2 linked regions of the Schizosaccharomyces pombe genome follow. The protein of the gene in region 1 purifies or fractionates together with the protein of each later gene. This does not show direct contact. Each region holds a gene or a part of one and is shown on either strand. Other genes may lie near its edges.

The links. The genes of interacting proteins can lie anywhere in the genome.
Region 2: the proteins of arg3 (region 1) and trx2 purify together in Schizosaccharomyces pombe (affinity purification with western blotting, with the first as the bait; one study listed by BioGRID). This does not show direct contact.

The regions. Positions count from the first base shown.
Region 1 is NC_003424.3:2,269,265-2,277,726, forward strand, and holds arg3 (ornithine carbamoyltransferase Arg3), read left to right. Parts: upstream 1-4,656; 5' UTR 4,657-4,747; coding exon 4,748-5,731; 3' UTR 5,732-6,252; downstream 6,253-8,462. Other genes in the region: DNA-directed RNA polymerase III complex subunit Rpc2, read right to left, coding at 1-258; arg11 (N-acetyl-gamma-glutamyl-phosphate reductase/acetylglutamate kinase), read right to left, coding at 755-3,412; cmb1 (cytosine-mismatch-binding protein 1), read right to left, coding at 6,314-6,913; idn1 (gluconokinase), read left to right, coding at 7,935-8,462. UniProt on the Schizosaccharomyces pombe protein: Ornithine carbamoyltransferase involved in the synthesis of arginine from glutamate via ornithine and the urea cycle.
Region 2 is NC_003423.3:2,316,479-2,322,765, reverse strand, and holds trx2 (thioredoxin Trx2), read left to right. Parts: upstream 1-4,235; 5' UTR 4,236-4,298; coding exon 4,299-4,432; intron 4,433-4,488; exon of another isoform or gene 4,489-4,514; coding exon 4,515-4,782; 3' UTR 4,783-5,357; downstream 5,358-6,287. Other genes in the region: ATP-dependent RNA helicase Spb4, read right to left, coding at 434-2,219, 2,349-2,383; ubiquitin-like protein modifier for cullin Ned8, read left to right, coding at 2,510-2,527, 2,576-2,593, 2,665-2,777, 2,828-2,915; cyclin CycC-like Srb mediator subunit Srb11, read right to left, coding at 5,358-5,565, 5,630-5,996, 6,075-6,154. UniProt on the Schizosaccharomyces pombe protein: Disulfide reductase which serves multiple functions in mitochondria, protecting mitochondrial components against thiol-oxidative damage as a thiol-disulfide oxidoreductase, and supporting urea cycle and respiration in mitochondria in a manner independent of active site thiols.

The sequences.
Region 1 (8,462 bases):
ATTTGCTTGTACAATTTTTTTTAAATCAACATCAACAAAATAGTTATACGAGTCTAAATGCTGTTTAACAAGTCCTTTTACCTTTAAAAATGCAGGTAAAAGCTGCCATTTGTCTTCAATGGTGGGAACAGGGTCTGCAAGCTTTTTGCCCTTATAAACAGGTTTAAAGAGGGCTCCAAAACTCTCATCCTTCCCAATTCCACCTTTATTTATTTTGGGTTGGCTTTTTTGAGGGTCTCCGGCAGTATTTACCCCCATCGAACTCACTTAGTTGATAATGGCGGACGGTAGCAAAATTCCTCCCCAAAAATATACTTATGGAGGAAGCGTTAGTAATGCAAGGATAGAGATTTCTTATTACTTTGGGCTTATTTTTTAAGTAACATATATAATTTTAAATAAAGAAATAAAACTTATACGCAATTAAGATTATTGAAGCTTAACTATTTACCACTTTATTCTACGTACAAAAATTATTTCGTTGATGAAAATCTATACCATAGAAAGCAACTTCAAATCTGTTTATATAAGTTTTGAAGAGTCTGCGACGCACAGACAGAGGAATTTTGTATAACTGAACAAGAACTAAATTAAAATGTGTGGAAACTTAAGATGGTACTCGTACGCGACTTACTGCTGGCTATTTAATAGCAAGGATTAATGCATTTAGTTCAAAATATTTGTAACAAAAAAATATCCAAATGGTACACAGAAAGAATAAAAATAACAAAAGAATGGGCTACAAAAAATATAATCAATCCAAATGGATACCGGCATATTCATCGTAACCACAGGACAGATTGAGATTCTGGAGAGCTTGAGTAGCAGCACCTTTAAGTAAATTGTCGATAGTAACTACAATGACTGCACGCTTTCCAGAAGAGTGCACACCAAAACCACCAACTGAAACATGATGCTTGTGTGCGTTGTCCTTGACCAAAGGTACATCTCCTTGAACATGAATTAAAGGCTCACCATTATAACGGTCTTGGTATAAGTTACGAAGCTCACGGGAAGTTATACTTTTCTTTAACGGAACATTAATAGTTAAAGTAATTCCTTGGAACCATTGAGCAACGTGAGGAATAAAGGCGACAGGTTGCTTTAAACGATAAGAAATTTCACGTTCATGGATGTGATCAGTTAATGAGTAAGGTATCAAATTGTTTGTCAATACATTCAAGTCATTCTTCGGAGAGGGCTTAGTGCCAGCCCCAGAATAACCAGATACACCAAAAATAGAGGGCTGGCCGTCAATCAAAGAGAGTATGGGAGTTAAACCGACTTGCGATCCAGTAGCGTAACAACCAGGATTGGAAATACGTTTCGAGTTACGCAAAGCTTCACGGTCATTTAGTTCAGGAAGACCGTACTGCCACGAGGGCTCAAAACGGTAGTCCGCACTTAAATCAACAATGACACTTTTACCATTTGCAGACGTTAAAGCATCGACATAAGGTTTGCATACACCGTTGGGTAGGGCCATGACCCAAGCATCAACCGCTCCCTCTTCCTCTAATTTTTTAACATCATCTGTGGACAAGTTGACATACTGAATTTCTTTCTTAGTGTAGCCAGGAAGTTTGGTGCCTTCCAACTCACGAGAAGAAACATGAGATAATTCGAGATAAGGATGAGTGTTAATCAATCCAATCAAGTTCTTTCCGGTATAACCACGGGCTCCAAGGAGAACGACTTTTGCTGGCTTCGATGAGACCGCCTTCAAAGGTTTTTGGGTCTTCTGAGCCTCAGCAGAAAAAAATCGTTTTCCACCCTTTAAAAACAAAGAACGATTCATTTTTTTGTTTTTTGAAAATAAAGAACTAGTTGAGTAACTTCGTTTTTGATTGATCTGTGAAGAGGAAGGGTTGTTGGTGGTAGATGAAGCAGTAGGGGGTTTAGTGGATTGGGTCTGAATGATAGCATCGGCAAATGGCTTGTCAGACTGAATGAACTTGGAGATTTTATTCAAATCTTTTACACCGTACCAAAAGTAGTAAAAATTATTAGCAAACAAAGTACCTTCGCTTTTAGAGAAGAACCATTCCAGATTCTTGGCTGAAGGTTGAAGACGCCATAGCAAAGAAGGGAAGTCTGCTTTTAATGTTGTTAATATGCTATCAACAACATTGTTTAACCAATTATTGTCGGCGGCACCAAAAGCTAAGAGTACTGGCAAGGATGAGTCGGTGGTGTCGACAATAGCAACAGATTCATTGAAAGAGTCACTATAAATACGAAGTTTTCTGTCTTTCAGAGTATCCTTGAACTGTTTCAAGCTTTCACTAGGTGCGGCTAAAGAATTTTTTTGAATGATCAAATTTTCTAGAGCAGCGTCTGGAATGCTATCCAACGAGTCATGTTTGTTGATGACAAAACCGCGACTAATCAAAGTACCAGCGCCAGATTCCGTAAAAAGCTCTTTTTGCAAATCCTTCGTACTAATAATGGCTACGGAAGATGTACGGGGAAGAGTATCAAGTAACTCTTTGATTTCTTTGATTTTGAGCTTCGTACCATACTTGACCCATGGTTGCTTCATGAGGCCATCGTACTCCCTATCCAAATAGATGCTGCTAATTTTTTTCTTTGTTTCACCGTTGATAAGTCCACCTTTTTCATTGAGATAGACCACCTTTAGAGGCTTCAATACGCGAGCAAGCTCACCAGCAGTAATGTCGGCGTTGACATTCAACAATTGACCAGAAGCAGTTTCGGCCATAGACGTAAGAATAGGGAGGGTTCCAGCACGAATACTGTGTTCAATAGGAGCTTTGTTTACCTTGACAATCTTGCCAACATACTTGTATTTTTCTTTGTCGAGATACTCTGCCTGAAATACACCACCTGTAATGGGACGAGCACGAGTTCCCAACTTTTCCAAAGCATCTACAAGTTTCGCATTTTCCTCTAAGAAAACTTTACGAGCTACAGAAAGAGTCTCGGCATCGGTGATTCGAATACCATCGCTATACTCGGGTTCAACATTTCTGCTGGCAAGAATTTTGTTTAATTGGGGACCAGCGCCATGCACAACGATGGGATAAAGACCCACATGATTCAAAAAGGCAAGACTTTGTGCCAATGTGTCTAATTCGTCGGTGATAATGGCACCACCAACCTTGATAATAGCGAAACGTTGAGCTTCGAAGGAAGTAAAGTATCGTAGGTATTGCTCAACTTCACGACGGCTTCCGATGGAGGAAAGAATTCTAATGATGGCATCACGATCTTGTTCAATTGGTTTCGCGAGTGGGTTTAACGGTTGTTGTTGACCCGGGGCAAAACTGCCTTGAAAACGTTTGCTTGCAATGACTGATGCATTGGAACATAGTAAGCTCCTTTTCGTACAGTGTTTCGCTCCATTCCGTACAAGACCGGACTTGACAATTTGTTGCAATTCAATAAGCATTGCCAAATTCTAGTGATATTCTATGATTTACTGTAGTTGGTAGAAGGCAGTTTGGTTGGTTTCAAAATTGGAAAATCATTTGCTTCGTAAACGTAGCTATAATTCGTTAAAATTTGATTGCTGTATCTAGGGATTTGCTCTGGAGATAATCACTCAAAAAGATGAGATCGATAATGTTACTTGTTGGCTGAAAATTACATCGGAAACCAACAGTTTACATGAAAGTGCTGCAAACGTGAGACATGGACATTTAATGAATTAAAGCTATATAAATGACACTGTAAAAGCAACTCATTTGCCGACAATGAATCTATTTGTATATACATTATTTAATACTAGTCCTAACTGACACAGTACAATATTCATTATTTCTATGCAAGCCAGTTCAATATCTTGATTTATACATGAAAGCATTCTTTTGAAACAATATTTTGTTTTCTATTTGATTTCGCGTTGAATAGTCCCAATGACCCTGATGAGACAAAAGCACTTATCATAAAATTTATTATCTAAGATAATCTCGTTAAAAAAAAAAAAAAAAAAAAAAAAAAAAAAAATTTGGCAAGAAGCCCTTCTCTTTCGTTAAAACTTGTTTCGCTTTATGCAATACTGTAAGTGTAAGCTTGTAATATAGCGAATCTGTGAACTCATTGTTCATTTCATGGTAGTTGTTGATTTCACAAGCATGCTGAGTTATCAATATAGTAACACAATTGGTTTTATTTCAGCTCGCTTGAATATAGTGTCAAGAGATAATTGAATAAACAAAAAAAATAACTACACGTTTTTTAGATACATTTTATTTACAATGTATTGGTTCTTTAAAGAATGGGTGGTAAATAAAAAAAATATTACAAGGTCGAAAAAAATTCATCCCTTTTCATTAGTTCTATAATTAAATGCTAAACCCATGAATATTCTTTTACTGCTAATCAATTAACGATTTTGGTATTTAAAAGCTATTGCTGATAAGTATTCTGACGTTCTGTATCAATATTACCATGAATAACATAAGAAAAAGAAAGGAAATAGAATGTTTATGAGTAGTTTTTAATTTTTGACTTGTTTTATCATATTTCATCAACGTACTAGCTTGTTTGCAACTGAACTCTAGTGTACGATAATGTAAAAATTTTCCATCTCGTCGAAAATCCGCATACGATATATTACGGCGCCAATCTCGCAGTCTGAGAGAGAACTAGATATCGGCTATATGCAATCTCACCCTGAATATCTAAGAAATTACCAGTAACTTGTGGGTTCCTTGTAGTCGACTACAAAAACCGTATTTTTGATATATTTAGTCGAGAAGAATTATTCAGTTTGCAATTGAAAATGTCTTTCAAAAAATTTCCTCGTCATTTACTATCCATTCGTGATCTTAGTCGCGGAGAGATTGTAAAGTTGATCGATCGGTCTTCTGAAATTAAACAAGCTTATAAGCAGAATTTTCAGAATCGCCGTTCTGTTCAAATGAGTGGTTTGTCGTCTCAGAATGTCGCCATGATCTTCAGTAAGCGTAGCACTCGTACTCGTGTATCAGTCGAAAGTGCTGTCAGTTGCCTTGGCGGCAATGCCATGTTTTTAGGTAAAGATGATATCCAATTAGGAGTGAATGAGTCTTTATACGATACTTCAAAAGTTATATCAAGTATGGTTTCTGGTATTGTTGCTCGCGTAAACAAATATTCAGATGTTGCTACGCTCGCTAAACATGCCTCTTGTCCTGTTATTAATGGTCTTTGTGACACGTTTCATCCTCTCCAGGCGTTAGCAGATTTACTCACTATTAAGGAAACTTTCAAAAGCTTTGACGGTTTAAAAGTTGCATGGGTAGGTGATGCCAATAACGTTTTACATGATTTGATGATTGCAAATGCCAAGGTTGGTATTCATACTAGCGTTGCTAAGCCCAAGGACGTCAACGTTCGCGACGATATTTTATCAATCGTTAACGAAGCTGCGAACGAAAACGGTTCTACTTTTGAAATTGTTAACGACCCCAAGGTTGCTGTTAAAAATGCTGATATCGTCGTTACCGACACTTGGATTTCTATGGGTCAAGAAGCTGAGAAGGAACAACGTCTTAAACAATTTACAGGATTCCAAGTCACCGGAGAGATCATGAAGCTTGCCAAACCTAGCTGCAAATTCATGCATTGTTTACCCCGTCATCCCGAGGAAGTGTCTGACGAGGTATTTTATGGAGAGAACAGTTTAGTTTTCCAAGAAGCAGAGAACCGCAAATGGACCACTGTTGCTGTCTTGGAGGCTTTGCTTGTCAACCGTGGTGAAATTCTTCCTCCTGCCTCAGCCTAAACTGAAATCCTTAATTTCATTTTTATCTGGGGAATGTGCAAACAATGCCAACTTTATAATTTTTTTTATTGGGCGTGCAAATTGTGATATTCATTTTTGAAATTTTATGTACTTTGTTTCACAAAAAGAAAATTGACTTTTGAGAAAATTTTTTAATTGACAATTACTTTTCAGATTTTTTATGCGCAGGACACAGGCTTCTAAAGACGTACTTATACGTTAAAAAAGGGGATGGATCAATTTGGCTCATTAGTCCAACAAGCTTTGTGTAAAATTATTACCCGCTTAATGCTATCCTCTTAACTAGATATTTCAAGGTATCAAGCAATCATAGTATTAAGCACTATTATATGCAAAATACAATTTAAAATTAATAGAAACTACAAATAAGCGCAACACTCATAAGGAAAAAGCTTTGGGACAATAAAGCTTTCGTCAATGCGGAATCTACGACAGAAAGAAAACTTAGTGTAGGCATCGAAATTTATTATATTTCAAGCATGTATGCTAGTAAAATAAAACGTAAACTCATTGATTCAAGAAATCTATAGAAAAAAAAGATCTGGGCAAGTAGAGTGTGCATCATCGAAATCCGGCTTCTTTCATAAACTTATCGTATTGCTCTTTAAGTGCTTTGCTTTTATCAATAAATGGCTTTTTCTTGTCTTCCGCCAATTCCTTCCACGCCTTTGATGCATTTTGGGTCTCTTCAACGAGTGTGGAAATGGCTTCTGGAATACCTAACTCTTGACGTAGCTTGGGATTGTTTCGAAGCTCCTTGTAAAAGAGGATAAAAGCAGAAGAAGGTTTTTTAGGAACATCTGGATGACGAAGTCTGTAATAGCGACTGCCCGTGCTGTGAGCCTCCTTCGAGCGACGACGATTTTCACTATCGATTTCTGTAGGTGTAAAGGATCGTAGAGTCTCCATAAAACGCTTTTTCTCAGCATCGAACTGCTCCTGGAGTTTGTTTTTATACTTTTGGATCTCATCGGCAGTCAAAGCTTTGTATTTTTGACGAATCATCTCAAAGCGCTCAGGACCATTACCAGCACCTTTTGTTTCAACCAACATTTGATTCCAAATGGTTTTCAGCCTAGGGGGGATCAACTTCTGTAATCCATTCTTTTCGGCAGAAACGAGAGTAGTGTGAAACTGGCGTATTCTAATTGCAAATACCATTTTGTGAAAAATGATCAAAGATAATGGTGCTTGGTAAGTTAGGTAAGGAGGCATTGCGTCAAACAGACGCATTCAAGTACTGAGTAAATATCGGGTACGTAATATTGTACAACAGACAAATGAGTAGTAAAAAGACGGTTTACTCAATTTTTAATAGCATAGAATAAAGGCGTTAAAAGCAGTTTGTTTGTTTCTTGTAACCACAAAGGTAGTTTCTTTTTCTAAGTGAAACACTTCGACATTCAACATAACAAAGCGTTGGTCCACAGAATCAAAAAGGTACTCCAAAATGAAAAGGAAACAAACGCATCTTCATCTCTTGAGCAACAAAACAGCACTCATTTCTATACTTTTTCCAACCTTCCTTATATACCGTACCTCCCAGCACTCTCATATTCATTACTCACCATAGACTATATTGTAGCTGTGTATTTAGTATAAAAATGTTTCAGTGGAATCGTTGCTATTCACTATTCATTACAGTGTATTCTTTCAGCACGTTATTTTAATTTAATAAACCGAAATAACATGCCCCGGTTCTTCTTTTGTCATATTGGCATCTTGGGTTACTGAAGAGATGGGGTATACGTTGCTTCAATCTCATTAGTTCTAGAGCCCCTCTATACCCCGATTTCTAAACGTCAATCCAACTTAGTTTTAAGGCTGTCGGCCTAATTTAAAGTTCCTTTCTACAGCTACAAAATTTGTATTAAAGGGACGAGAAGCCCCCGGGTATTTGTTTGTTTTTAATAACATCTAGTGTGTATTAACTTTTCTTGGCTGTGTTTAACCAAGTCGTAAGTGTCTGCATTTTTTCGGTATTTCTTGCCGCTTACCACAAACTATAGTACCTTTGAAAAGTTGGCTGTTTTCCAGTAAATTTGCATCGCTTTGTCCGAGAAAGGAGCCTTTTAGCGCCATTTTGACAAAGCTTGTTTAAAACATCTCGTTCGATTACCACCAACGTGTGATTTTGTGATTGTACCCAAACTTTGAAATCCTCACAAATAATTCGATAACTATGACTGTTACTCCCATTAATCCTACTAATCAGCCATACAAATATGTATTTGTAGTCATCGGCCCTGCCGGTTCAGGAAAAACGACGATGGCTAAGGCGGTATCTGAGAAATTGGGTTTTGAGTATATTGAGGGTGATGATCTACACCCCAAAGCAAACATTGAAAAAATGAGTCAAGGCCATCCTTTGAATGATAACGATCGTTGGGGTTGGTTGCATAACTGCGGAGGTGCTTGTGCCATGGAACTTGACAAGGAATCGATAAAGGGAGTTGTGTTAACCTGCTCGGCCTTAAAGCGTAGTTACCGTGATATCCTTCGTAGCTCTTTGGAGCATCGTCCTGCAATTTTGCGCTTTATTTATTTAGCCGCTTCGAGAGAAACACTTATTAAAAGAACGACTAGTCGCAAAAATCATTACATGAAGGCTGACATGGTTGAAAGTCAATTGGCAATCCTTGAGGCTCCTACCGCTGATGAAAAGGATGTTATTACCATTAGCGTTGAGAATGGAAAAGAACAGTCAGAA
Region 2 (6,287 bases), on another chromosome or scaffold:
AACTGGTGTTTTCGCCTAGGTATGGCCGTAGACAGCACTATAAGTAATTAGTAAAATATATATATGATATCCTTAACCAGATTTTAGTAAAAAAAATTTGGAATTAATTGTGGAAATGTAATCTAAATTTATTGAATGTATCTACTGCTTCAGTTGCTTAAAGTATTTTACTTCTTAAATATCAAATTGATCGCAGAATTATGTGTAGATAAACGCTTAATTGCATTTTTCACAAATTTGTTAAGTAATCGTTGTAAATGTAAAGTAAATATACAAATGCAGTAATTCAAAAATAAATGCTGATGAATAAGAACTTAATATTTGCTGAACAACTCCAATTAATCTTCCAAGTTCTCAAATATTTAAAAATACTAAAAGACTTTCCTATATTTCCAAAACCCCGTTTTTTTTTCCATTCCCTAAAAATACATTGCTACATACTAAATCCAAAGGATGCTTGATTTTTTCTTTTTTTGCTTTTTTTCAACTGTCGGTAATCCTCTTCTAATTCAGATAAAGCATCCGATTCCTCATCTATTAAGTCATCGTTTTCCGTTTCTTGTGCTCCAGCTTTTGATACTATTTCTTGTTTCAGGTTATTAGAAGCTTCGTTTTTCTGTGCCTTCAAAAATTCTTTCTTGGATTTCCTTTTTTCACGTCGGGTGTTACGCTTCTCCTTTACTTCCTTTTGTTTGGACCAAGCTTCGTTCTTAATTTTTGCTGGCCGAGCTAATTTTTTGGGTTCAGTTTTTTCGACTTCCAATCGGCGTCGTCTGGCCTGCTCGCGTACTTGATCACGGTATGGTATGGTTGCATAATCAATGTCAAATTTTTTAAAAATATTTTCGGATATTTCGGTGTCTTTTAACTCTGGCATTTTTGGAAGATGTAATAAAGCGTATGCCGTGGCCAACTGTCCCAAATCCAAATCTTTGATACGAAAAATAAACGACGCATGATGTTTTGTGTACGCACGAACATGTGAAACAAACGCTCTTAATCCCTTATCATATAGATCTCTGTCTTTGGATACGATTTTTCTCAATTCGTGGGTTAATACTTTAAGTCGTGAAAGATCTAAAGCTTCAATTGGAGTGTCTATACGAGTAATAGGTACCTTCCTAACCCTTAACAATTCCTCATATTCTTCTTCTCTTCCATCATTTAACAAAACTATTGCAACACCCGCTCGACCAGCGCGACCAGCTCTGCCGCATCTATGAGAAAAAGATTTCGGATCCAAAGGCGGGTCGAGCTGAAGAACAAAGTCAACATTTGGAATATCAAGACCCCGGGAAGCAATGTCAGTTGTAAAAAGAACTGTTTTTTTATTTGATTTCTTAAATTTTTCAAAATTACGTGATCGATTCGACTGAACTTGCTGTCCATGCAAAGCTACTATTTCAAACGGTAATTTATAAGTGAGAAAAAGGGAGTTAAAATATTCAACAGAAGCACAAGAAGAAAAAAAAACAATTGCTTTTTCGTATTCGATCGTACAAAGCAAATGTATCATACATTGTACTTTGTATATGGGAGGAATCACTAAAGATTGTATAGCTAGACTTGACGGTGTTCTTGTATCAATTTTTTTTGATGTAACTGTCACAGAAACACGTACGCTATTTCGAAGGCCAGCAATTTTTAAAAATGATGACACAGTGTCATTCATTGTTGCGCTAAACAACCCAGTTCGACGTTGTTTCGGAAGTTGAGATATAATGGATTGTAATGTACGCTGAAATCCCATGTCAATAAGGGTATCAGCTTCGTCTAATATTAGTATTTCCAAATGCTTACTGGATATATGAGAAAGCATTTCATTCAATCGACCGGGTGTACCAATCACCACTGAGGGGTTTTTTTCCCGAAATGAAGCTAAATCATTCGTGAGCGTTCCCTTTCCCCCAATATACATATCTGCAACGAGTTTTTTCCCTCCATCCAAAGAGTCTGGTTGGTACGCCAAAAGCTCTTTGGTAACATTGAATATCTGTGTAGCTAATTCACGAGTAGGTGCAACAATTAATGCACCCAAACCTGTTTCGTCCGTATCTCTACGAGTGACTTTATCGAAGCAAGGAAGTAAATAGGCCAAAGTCTTGCCTGAACCCGTTACTGCTTCAACTACCAGATCTTTATTTTTCAAAAATAATGGTATGGCATTAGCCTGAACGGGTGTCATTTTTTTAAATCCTTGAGCAGCTACGGCGTTCTTTCTAGTTTATGTTAGTGCTTGTAAATTGTTGATTTGACAAAATCCTGGTATCATTTAGATAATAAAAATTTTTGAACAGGTTAAACATGTAGCAGAACCTAAAATTTTTATTTTAGAATTGAAAACTTACAGCCATTTATCTATATTAATACTCTGAAAACTCATTGTCCCCTCTTTGAAGACCAATTCAATTTTTCGCGAGGTGAGCCAGAGGGGAATGCTTATAGGGAGAGAGAGGAACTGCTAGCGTTTAACCACAACAATTTCAGAAAAGCGTTTATAAAAGTTAGCATGCTTATCAAAGTAAAAGTAAGATAAATTTATTTCTTTTTTATGTATACTAATATATAATCATAGACATTGACAGGGAAAGAGGTTCGTGTTTTAAATGTTGAAAACATTTATATGCAGTTATAATTCATCTATGTTTCTAACCAAAATATAAGATCGAATTAGACATTGATCCAAATGACAAGGTTTCTAGGATCAAAGAACGGGTTGAAGAAAAAGAGGGTATCCCTCCTTCACAGCAGCGTCTGATCTACGCTGGAAAGCAAATGTAAGCACTATGGGAACATCCATACAATGATTCTAACAAACATCACGTAGGGCTGATGATAAAAATGCTGAAAGTTATCATTTAGAAGGAGGCAGCGTCTTGCATCTTGTGTTAGCTCTTCGTGGAGGAAGTTGCTAGTTGTTGCATACTTTATTTATAAAGAAAAATTATGTATAAAAAATCATACTTTTATTTAACGCTATAAACGAAATCTTTTTACTGTTTTACTAATACTAAGAGTAACGAAATGAGAATTGAGTCGCTTTATTATTGCTCTGTTTCATTTTATGTGAATCTATTGATTTGTATAAAAATATTGCTTAAGCTTTTCTAAACTTAAGACGTTTTGGTGATCATGAATTTCAGCGATAAGATTGATTACTTCTTGTTAATTTATGAGTAAAGTAGTCGTAAAGAGACGTTTTGCACAGAAAAGTCAATATATAACAACAATTGCTTGCGCATTCCCATCTGATATCAAAGTATATAAAGCAGTAGCATGCGAAGCAAAACTTCCTCAGTACAACATCGAATGTAATTACCATAAACGCAAAATCTCTAGTAAGACTAAAAGAAAATGTTGTTTAAATAAAACTAACTGCAAAATGCTATGTAGCAAAAACATGGGCTGTTGTGGGAATCGAACCCACGACCACCATCACCCTAAGATGGTATCATACCACTAGACCAAACGGCCACATTGATAGGGGTGCCACTTAAACATATATAAAGGAAATATACATGTAAATCTATATAAATTACATTTTTAAGGAGGAAAGTATAATCAATATGCTTATAAATTGCCATTTCAATGTATTGATTCTCATTTTTCTATTTAAGAAGTTTTAAATTTTTTTTGTTTATGAGAAAGTGACATCGGCTTTAAGGAACTGCTCTATTTAAAAGCAAGAGAGATTCATTTAATTATAAATAGTCTGCATAAAGCCAAATTACTATTATAAAAATTAAAAAAAAATGATATTCTTTCTTAATTTCAAATTAATTCTGATAACCGGATTTTCGAAGTTTTATGTAATCTTAAGATTGAAGTACTAGTTTTTATAATCGTGAGTACAAAAAATCCATCCAAAAATCTTTGGGCTGTATATTTAAGAACAAATTAAAGTAACTTTAGTTTAATCAACAAAGGTAAGGATTTATAAACTTCATTAGGTGTTTTTTAAAGTTATTAAAAAAAAAAAAAAAAAAAAAAAAATCTCTCAAATTGTTCGGCTACAGATTTTTTGAAAGCTTCTATTTTCCAATAAGGATTCTAATAAAATATAATAAAGAGGGAAAAATGATGCTAAATTATAATTTTTTTTATTGGTTTCCCAAATTTTTAATCTTTTTTTATTGAATTAATGTTGTAATAATTTAAAAAATATTGTATTAAAGAGTAATGTTTATGATCGCAACTAAGCACTTTTCTCCGCCTGGCGGTAGTTCTAGCTTACTAAGTGCTATAATTTCACCTATTTAAATTTTTGATTAAAACCGTCAACCAAAATTATAATTCAAATGCGTGGATTTATTGCAAACTCTTTAAAGCCGCATATGAGATCTTTTGCTCTGCGCAGAAGTTTTACTAGCTCTCGTATTTTGAGAAAGGTGAACGCAGTTGAATCGTTTGGCGATTACAATACTCGAATTAGGTATGTATAGTCAATAATATATCATAGTAAAAAATAAAAGATAAAACTTTTTCGAATAGATCTCCTTGCTAATTGCTACTAGTGCTGACAAAGTTACCGTCGTTGATTTCTATGCAGACTGGTGCGGTCCTTGCAAATACCTCAAACCGTTTCTTGAAAAATTAAGCGAACAAAATCAGAAAGCATCTTTTATTGCTGTTAATGCAGATAAATTTTCTGATATTGCTCAAAAGAACGGTGTTTATGCCTTGCCTACCATGGTATTGTTTCGTAAGGGTCAAGAATTGGACAGAATCGTCGGCGCTGATGTGAAAACTTTATCTTCTTTGTTGGCAAAATATCAAGAATAGAATATGGGATATTGGTGTCCCCATTCGTAAATTGCTTGATTTACTTTCTCGATTCAATTTGTTGATTGCACTGTATTATGTCAAAACTAGGTTTTAAAAACTTGACACGGCTTATTTTATTTAAGATTTAAGATTTAAGGGTTTTTACTTTATGAATTTCATTATATAATTGCCGGACCAAATTTGCTGAAATCAAAAATATCCTTTCAGAAATACCTAATAGGGGAATGTTCAACTCAATTAACACAGGAAGCTACAAGAATGAGCTATTTTATAACAACGTGAGTATTTCTATGAGGTGATTAAGGAATAATTTTTGAGGTTCATAGATAAAGCATTAATATATCCTTTACGTTTGTGACATAACCATTCGATTTTGGATATTATTACACAGATACTGCTCTATTTATTCATTTAGACATAACACCATGAACGAGAATGCGTATATAATACACGGTTTTAAACCAGACAACAAAACATAATTTCAGGCATTAATCAGCAATAAAGAAAAATCTAATTATAGTTTTCGTTTTTAACAAAATTTGAGGCTCTAAATGTATAGTGTATTCAAGAAGTTATTCAATATCCTCAAAATAATAAATAGAAATTATGCGTTGAACACATAATATAACTTTGAAGGCATCAGTACTCTTTATTAAATCCAAAAGCTTAGGAATTGTATTTTCATCATTGCAACAACTTATTAATAAAGCGGCATACGCAAGTTGATGAGGATGTGCCATTAAACATAAACTGCTGGCATATGAATCGTTAACAATGCTCCTATTTCCTCGATCGTTAGAAAAATCTAATCGACTGTGATTTTCAATATAAGAAGTATACATACCAAGCAAACTCAAGCTGCTTTTGATTGATAATGCCATCATGAAATGCTTGCTCAAGAGAAGTGTAGGGATGGTGAACAATGAGAAATGCATCAAGGACTGAAATGATTTCAAATTCTATTTCGGAAATATTAGAACGACTAAGTTTAACTTTTAGGCTCCAGAGATCATTAGCCTCATTGCAAATTGTGCGAATGTGAACAGGGCATTCTTCCACTTTGCATGATAAATAAATGCATGTAGCCACTAGCGCCTCCAAAGAAAAACCCTTTTCCTCATTTTTTTTTAGCATGTAACGCCTTAATAAAACGATGGCTGTAGCTAAGACACGCTGCCGAAGCCTGAGCCTGTCTCCAAACGTTTGTACAACTAGAATTGTATCAGCAAAACGAAGTGTAAATGAAATCACAAGCTAGAATAAGCCGAAAAAAATTAATGAAAATATACCTTTCCATTGATATATTGTATCTTTAGATAAGCAAGTTGGTTCCAAAGATTCCAAATCTGTGGATAAGAATAATTGTGTTCTGTAAGGTCAGCTTGAAAAAGTATACTAAGGAATAATAAAGGTTCGAAGATATTTTAAACAAAAACTAACAAAGAGGCTAAAATCGCTTTAAATTAAAGTCAACGAAACGAATGAGAAGCCGAAATAAACTG